Cricetulus griseus: one gene and its partner. Each later gene encodes a partner of the first gene's protein in a complex. Links are inferred from orthologs where the notes say so. Each region holds a gene or a part of one and is shown in the gene's direction. Other genes may lie near its edges.

Region 1 (4,029 bases):
TCTATCTGTAATAGGATTTCTACTGCAGTAGTGCCAGGGTACAGTGATGTTGGGAATATGGACATGTCTAACTGGCTGATAATGTTTAAGACTGATTAACCATTAAGATAATGTTTAACTTTGGAGTTTTAAAATAGTTGGGGGAGATGGTTGAAGGAGACATCATTGGTTCTTGGTATATTAAGGATTAATTTTACTTACAAATCAACAGACCAAAAGAACCTCCTTGTTTGGTGAACTAGCTTTTATTTATTTATTTATTTATTTATTTATTTATTTATTTTTGCTTCCTTTTTAAAAGGAAAACGAAAAGACATAAGTAAGCAGATGTTTACTTAACAGGAATATCCCTGTGTAGGCCTGTTGAAATGGCTCAGAAGGTTAAGGGTCATGCTGACAAGCCTAAGGGTTTGGGTTCATTCAATACTCGAGCCCCACATTGTAAAAGGAGAGAACCAATTGCCACAAATCTGCACACATAAGCCTGAGTGTGAACTCACACACATGCTCACACACTAAGTAAATGTCAAAAAATTCCTTTCGGTATTTTTCTTGGAGGCCATCTTTCTCTTTCCTATAAAACTCTATGGCCATGACTAGGCCTAGTGATACAAGCCTTAATCCCAGCACTTTGGAGGCAGAAGTGAGTGGATCTCTGAATTTGAGACCAATCTGGTCTCCAGAGTAAAATTTCGGGCCAGTCATGGCTACAAAATGAGACTTGTTTTAAAACAAAACAAAAAAAAATTAAAAACTCTCTATAGAATATTATATATATATGTACAATAATATTCAATAAATAGTTTAAGTCATGTCTTTTAGAAATAAAGACAGAAAGCAATAAACAGTAATAAAAGTTGGAAAAGCCAAACAATGGTGTCTGTCCCCAAGCCCACGGTGCCTGCACCTGTTCCTTTCATCCTTAGATGATAATCTGCTGTTTATTTTGCTACCATGAATCTACGCACATGAAGCCTGAAAAGAGGTTGCCTTTTAAAAGTTGGTCTGTGCCTGATCTTTCTTACTTCACAAGAAGTAAAGGGTGTGTGTGTGTGTGTGTGTGTGTGTGTGTGTGTGTGTGTGTGTGTGTGTGTGTGTGTGTCCCCGTCCTGTTGGTGGTTAAAAAGCAAGTTGGGACTTCCTCTTTGAACAGTTGCCTCTCCTCTCATACAACGGAGATTTCATCTTGTCTGAGGCTGAAAGTGAGCCCGAACGCCAAGGCCACGGGCATGATGGCTAAGAAGCCCCCAAAACCAGCGCCCCGCAGGATCTTCCAGGAGAGGCTGAAGATCACTGCTCTACCGCTGTACTTTGAAGGGTTTTTGTTAGTCAAACGGTCTAATCACCAGGTAAGTCTGTAGATGAGAATTCTAAGCCTGAATGTTTTCACTTAATATAAAACTTGTTTCATGACAATGCCTCCTATCTCTGTCTGGATTATACCCTCTTCCCTAAGTGAAGAGAACTATTCTAATTTTGAATAGCTTAAATACAATGTACAGTTTAAACTTATAATATATTTAAATATATATAAACTGTGCATATATATGCATACATAAGCATGTATAATAAGGTCTTTAATATTTAGCTATAATTGAAAAACTCAATGAAATTTCCATTGAGCATCACATACGATTTTGGCTTGCAAGATAATTTTGTTTTATGTTTTTTCAACAATCAAATATTATGCTTCAGTGGTGATGAAGTACATGAAGATAAGGTGATTTTATGATGAAATTAACCTTCTCCTACTCTCACTCATACTGAAGTGTATAATGACCAAACTGTAATAAATGGTAAACTAATGACCAAACTGTAATAAATGGTAAACTTTGATAAAGTTGTGAAAATTTGATGTTTACTTACTATTGTTTCATTCTGAAAATACTGTTCACGATACTGGCTTTAAAAGAGAGCATTTAGGGTATTATTGCAAATAGTGAATACACTAATTTTGTTTTTCAAAAAGTACTTTTTCTCTATGAAAACTCACAAAGTATTCCACATATTTTTAAATGTAAAATTTCAAATTATAGTTATCAAAAGTACTACTTTTAAAGTTATAATTGTGGACAACATAAAATTAATTAGAGAAATAAACATGAAATCATGTTACTAAAAAAAAAAGAAGCCATTGATGCAAGTAAAATGTTATGAAATGTTAATATAGGCTGAAGCTAGCAAAGACTTAAGTGTTTACAGAAATAACAATAAATGTTCAATGATGATAAGTCAAGGTTTCAGATGATTCATTGACATTCGTGGAAAAATTATGAATATGAAAATATTGTAACAGTACATTTATATTTTCTATGTACATGATAAAGATATTTGCCATTTGAAAGCCAAGTTGTAATTCTTGTTGTAGGTGTTAAACATTTCTTAGTACATTTTCAAGCTATTTTGGAATTTTTGTTGTTGTTATTGATCACTCACAGTTCAACTACATGGTTTTACTTCATCAACAATGGGTAACAAGAAAGTAAATTTCTAGTTGGTAATTTAAATTTGGTCACTGACTCTCTTTCCAGAGTGTCTCTGATAACTGTGCCTGATACCAATATCTTAAGGTGTTTAAAGAAGGCTTATATGGGCATGGTTAGCAGATAAAATTCCACAATTTTAGAGTAGCTGTAAACCGTGTCTTCACTTGATGGTTTTCCACATACACCTTGTGATCTTGTGAAAATTACTCCATCATCTCCCCTGAACTCAATTTATTCAACTGCAAAGAGAAAAAAATTCTACTTGGCTAGCATAATATATTATTATTTGTATTGTATTCTTTATTATTTGTGGGATAAGAAAGTACAGACCTGAATCAATTTACTTTTAAGCAGCATTTATTGTATATCTTGTACTCGACAAACAGGACACGAGGCTTAGCTTCGTATCAGTTACAATTTCTTATCTATCTAACTCCTACTCTGGTTTTTCTTAGAAACCATGCTTTAAAATAGAATGAACCATAATCTAGTATTTCTCATAAGGGCTGCGGAATCTAGCAAAATGGTAGAGCACTTGTCTAATGCACATCGGGCCCTGGATTCAATGGGAGCGTGCAAATGTAAATAATTGTGGTACGTGTATATGAGAAAACCAATTTGTTTACCCATTTGAGTTTATTACCAAGTCCCTTTCTCTTGTGTATTAAACAGGGGAGGAACTAGAGAATAGCAACAATGTCAAGGCACGTGATGGTTTTCAAGATGGAAATGATAGCCATATAAAACACCAGCTTCACACTTAAGATGAGATTCATTTTCTTCTTATTTACTTATTTGTTTGCTAGAATTCTAAAGTCAGTTTGAGGTCTGTAAATAAAATTGCTCAAAGGAACTCCATAGCTGCTCACAGACTTAAACATAGAAACTATGAGAGAAATACTCGTGGAAAAAGGTGGGATTTCTCCACAACTGGTAGCAAATGCTAGGTAGCATTTAGAAGCAAGGTGAGCTGAGAACATTGCTGCCAGGTCAGCCGTGGAGTTCCTTGACACAAATGACATGGAGAGGCTATGCAGAGGTCCCTGCTGAAAACAAATTCAGAAGATAAAAATGGAGAAAACGTAGTTTAAGAACATGTTCAATAAAGAAACTACAAGGCAAGATGCTCTCATTGCAAGGGTTATTATTTTTATTTCTCATACATTATATCCCGACTACAGTTTCCCCTCCCGCCCCTCCCCTCCCCTCCTCTGCCTCTCCTTCCCATCTCCCCTTTCCCCCAGATCCACACCCCCTCTGTTTCTCCTCAGTAAAGAGCAGGCCTCCCAGTGACATCAAACAAACACAGCATAACAAGTCACAATAACACCTGGCACATACCATCATATCGAGGCTGGATGAGGCAACCCAGTTCAAGGAAAAGGATCGCACAAACAATTGTTGCAATCACTTTAAAAGAAAATGCACCAACATATGCTGACATTAATACAATTCTAGAAGGACCCTGCATTTCAGGTCAAGAATCTATGAAAAGTATTTTTCAAGGGAAAGATATGGGAAGATTTACTTGAACTACATTAGG
Region 2 (3,946 bases), on another chromosome or scaffold:
GTGAGACATAAAGACAAAAAAATAAAAGCACTAGGTGGTCTAGCAAGGTGGCTCAGTAGGCAAAGGTGCTTCCCACTAAGGCAGATCATGAGTTCTATCCCCTGGGAAGGCACTCAGAAGGCTGACTTCCGGTCTCTACTCACATACCCTCTCCCCCTACACACAAAGAGGCAGGTGGGGGCCCTATCCAGCTGTTTCTAACACACTGATCCTTTGTTCCATCTGCTGTCTTTGTGCCATCCACCACATGTCTCTTCCTTGTCCCCCATGTCCCTTATCTTTTTCTGTCTGCCCTTTTGGTGTTTGTTCTATGGGATTCTGCTGCTCTAATCTTGTCTTCCTGATTCCCACTCTGAGATCTCTGTGGGTTCTGGCAGGACACTGGCTTCGCTTCCTCCAGCCTCTGGTTGTCTGTCTGCATAGCTGTCTTTCTCTTTCTGGTCCTCTCCTGAACTGAGCATCTGTATCTCCCACCTCTGGTGTCTGTGGCTCTCTCTCTCTCTCTCTCTCTCTCTCTCTCTCTCTCGTGTGTGTGTGTGTGTGTGTGTGTGTGTGTGTGTGTGTGTGTGTGTGTGTGTGTGAACTCTTGGGTTGACACTGCCTCTCTTCTCTGTGCCCCCTGGGGCCTGTGTCTGTGCTTTCGTTTTGGTGTGTGCTGTGTGAGTCCTGGGCTTTCTGTCCTCTTTCCGTGCCTATCTCTCACTTCCCATTTCTCCTGAGTCTTTCTTTTTTTTACCCCACCCCAAGTGAGTGTGTGTGTGTGTGTGTACATGTATATCAGGACAACTAGCAGATATCAGTCAGTTCTCTCCCACCATGTGATTCCTGGTGATAGAAAGCAAATTGTAAGGCTTGGTGGCAAGTGCGATTACCCAGCGAGCCATCTTGCTGGCCTACCTTCCTTGTTTTTGATTTTTGTTTGTTTTGAGACAAGGTCTCACTATGTAGTAACCCTGGCTGGAACTCACTATATAGACCAGGCCTCAAACTCAAAAGAGATCTGCTTGCTTCTGCCAAGTACAGGCATTTAAAGGCATACACCACTATGGCCCGCTCTTCTCTATCTCTATCTTTTTCTGTCTGCCCCACCCCTTTTGTCACTAGCCAGCCGAGCAGTCCGGCCAAGGCGGATGTGCGAGGATGATTCAGTAGTGACAGGAAGCCAACCGCCTTGCCTGCTGCCCGCCAGAGTCTGGTGTTGGCATTGGCTTGGGCAGGTGTGCCGGCACAGGATGGGGTGGCCATGGTGAGGAACCCCCACTCTCAGGTAAGCATTTCCCAGGGGTGCCCAGCTGAGCAGGTGTCCCCTGCACTATCCCCCACAAGACCCTTAGTAGCTATGGACTAAGCGGTGGCTGGGACACCTGATTCCTCCTGCCCTGGCCGGGCACTTTGGCCCGTTGGGGGCAGCCTGTTTTAGGGGCTCCAGGCACCTACCTACTGATCATTGTCTTCCCAAACCCCCAGCCTGTGAGACCCTAGGGGGGTTCTGTCACTACCAGTGACTGGGGAGGGCCAGCCAAAAGCCAGAAATGAACTCAGTTTCTCCCATCAGTGAAGAGTTATCTAATGCCACAGGCCTGTGGGTGAATCTGGGATGCCCTGGGGAATTGCCCAGGCAGGCCCTGTCCCAGCCAGGAGGAGGAAGTTGCTGTCCCCAAAAGTCCACCCAAGCCTGACCCAGGTTCGTACCTTCTGATGGATAACCCCTGTAGAGCTGGTGGGTTCTTTGGTTCTGGTAGCCCAGGTTGGCCAGGTTCCTTCCACCCAGCCTCCACCACCACCACCATTGGCCTGGAAAAGGGCCTGCCAGACCTCTACACATGACCATACACACACACACACACACACACACACACACACACACACACACACACACACACACAACTCACCTGGCCCTCTGGCCTCCAATAGGTTTTTCAGAGTCCTCTCTCCACTCTCATTTGAAGCCCCAAATCCTTGGTCCATGCAGGTAGAGATTGTGGTGCACTCCTGTAATCACAGCACTAGGAATGCTAAGGTGGGGGTACAGGAGTTCAAAGCCAGCCTGTACTCCATAATGAGACCCTGTCTCGAACAAACCACAGAAATATTCAGCTAAAACCACAGGCCCCAGAGTAGCATGAATACAGCCATCCAGGATTGTGTGATTGGTCGTACTCATCTGAGCAGACCCTGGTGGCCTCTGTTCCCTGAAGGGTGAGTAGTTGCAGAGTAATCACTAAGGGCCGTTGAGGCTAGTGGTTCAGAGGCTACAGTCAAGAGACTGGCCCTGTGCAAACCTTGTTCATATGAAAACTGCCCACTTCCCTTTGAGCTATTTTGGCCTACACGGAGCCACAGAGCTGTGGCAGTCCCCCATACACCCACAGCCAGCCCTGCCTGGCCCCTTGGGGCCTTGTGTGACTCGTGGGTTGCCCCTCCTGCAGACCCAGCCTCAGTTCCCTCAGCCCACCTGCTGTCTGTAGAGAGCATGAGCACACAGAGTGGAGGGATTCATTGGGCCTACTCTGGATTTCCATCACTGTTACTCTTACTGTGGTTCTCTCTGGCACAGTATGCACCTCTTTGAACCCTGTATGCACCTTTGAGCTCCCTGGGAAGAAGACAATTGGGATCAGAGGAATCCCCAACTGAGAAGCAAGGCCCAGACCCATACACTCACACTGGCTCTTTTTGCTTTGTTTTCCAATATTTTAATCCATTTTTAATTATTGGATGGATGGGTGTGTGCTACAGTGTAGGTCAGAGAATAACTTGTAGGAGTGAGTTCTCACCATGTGGATCCTGTGGATCGAACTCAGATCCTCAGACTTGGAGGCAAACTCCTTTCTTTCTTTCTTTCTTTCTTTCTTTCTTTCTTTCTTTCTTTCTTTCTTTCTTTATTAGTTCAAGTTAGGGAACAAGCTTGTTTCACATATAAGTCCCTTCTCCCTCCCCTCACCCCCATCCCTCCTCCCCCCCCCCAACCTACCCCCACCCCATCCACCCACCACTCCCCAGGCAGGGTAGGGCCCTCAACGGGGGCTCTGCAAAGTCCACCAAATCTTCCTGTGCTGGTTCTGGGCCCTTCCCCATGTGTCCAGGGCCATCCCTTCATGTGGGATGGGCTCTCTTAAAGTCCCTTCTTGGCACCAGGGAAATATACTAATCCACCACCAGAGGCTCCCTGGAGTGCAGAGGCCTCCTTATTGACATCCATGCTCAGGGGTCTGGATCAGTCTTGTACTGGCCTCCCCGACAGCATCTGGGGTCGATGTGCTCTCCCTTGTTCAGGCCAAGTGTTCCTGTGGGTTTCTCCAGCCTGGTATAGACCCCTTCGCTCTTCATTCCTCCCTCTCTTCAACTAAATTCCAGATTTCAGCTCAGTGTATATCTGTGGATGTCTGTCTCTGCTTCCATCAGCCACTGGATGAGGGCTCCCGTTCGTGGGTCGGTCGGCGGAAAGGGATGGAAGAGTGGGCAGCAAGCTCCTTTTTACTAAAGCTGTCTCACCACCCCCCATCCATTCAATCATATTTTAATAATTTAAACTTTATCTTATGCACATTGGTGTTTTGCCTGCAGGTATGCCTGCATGAGGGTTCTAAATCCCCTGGAACCAGAGCTATAGACAGTTGTGAGCTGCCATGTAGGTGCTGGGAGTTGAACCCAGGTCCTCTGGGTCAGTGCTCCTAACCTGAGCCATCTCTCCAGCCCCCACCCCATTCAGTCTTTTTATTATCATGGATTAATTATGCATAGTATTAGGCTTAGGACATTTCCATACATGGAAAGAATGCATCTTGACCACATTAACCAATTCCTTCTCATGTCCACTGCCATTCTCAGATCCTTGCCCTCTTCTTAACTAATTCCTTTCTGATTCATGTTCTTTTTCCAGTTGGGTGTGGCCTGGTGGTGACCGATGAGTTTCATTAGGTTTGCTTTCAGGGTGTGAGGGTTA

The links. Proteins that work in one complex are often made in the same cells at the same time.
Region 2: the proteins of Stap1 (region 1) and Lat2 are in contact, whole or in part, in a crystal structure (PDB 3MAZ), measured with the Homo sapiens proteins. The link is inferred for Cricetulus griseus from reciprocal best matches to the Homo sapiens genes STAP1 and LAT2. Residues at the interface, in NP_001304698.1 of Homo sapiens: Arg184, Arg203, Pro204, Gly205, Ser206, Ser212, Ile215, Gln217, Ile219, Lys225, His226, Tyr227, Lys228, Glu239, Leu240, Glu241, Tyr255, Phe256, Glu259, Thr260, Arg261, Asn263, Leu264; in NP_054865.2 of Homo sapiens: Asn134, Ser135, Tyr136, Glu137, Asn138, Val139, Leu140, Ile141, Lys143.

What each region holds. Positions count from the first base shown.
Region 1 is NW_023276807.1:151,312,939-151,316,967, forward strand, and holds the start of Stap1 (signal-transducing adaptor protein 1), read left to right. Parts: upstream 1-1,229; coding exon 1,230-1,349; intron 1,350-4,029. UniProt on the Homo sapiens protein: In BCR signaling, appears to function as a docking protein acting downstream of TEC and participates in a positive feedback loop by increasing the activity of TEC.
Region 2 is NC_048597.1:113,700,334-113,704,279, reverse strand, and holds the start of Lat2 (linker for activation of T-cells family member 2), read left to right. Parts: upstream 1-1,146; 5' UTR 1,147-1,243; coding exon of another isoform or gene 1,244-1,267; intron 1,268-1,555; exon of another isoform or gene 1,556-1,578; 5' UTR 1,579-1,597; coding exon 1,598-1,684; intron 1,685-3,946. UniProt on the Homo sapiens protein: Involved in FCER1 (high affinity immunoglobulin epsilon receptor)-mediated signaling in mast cells.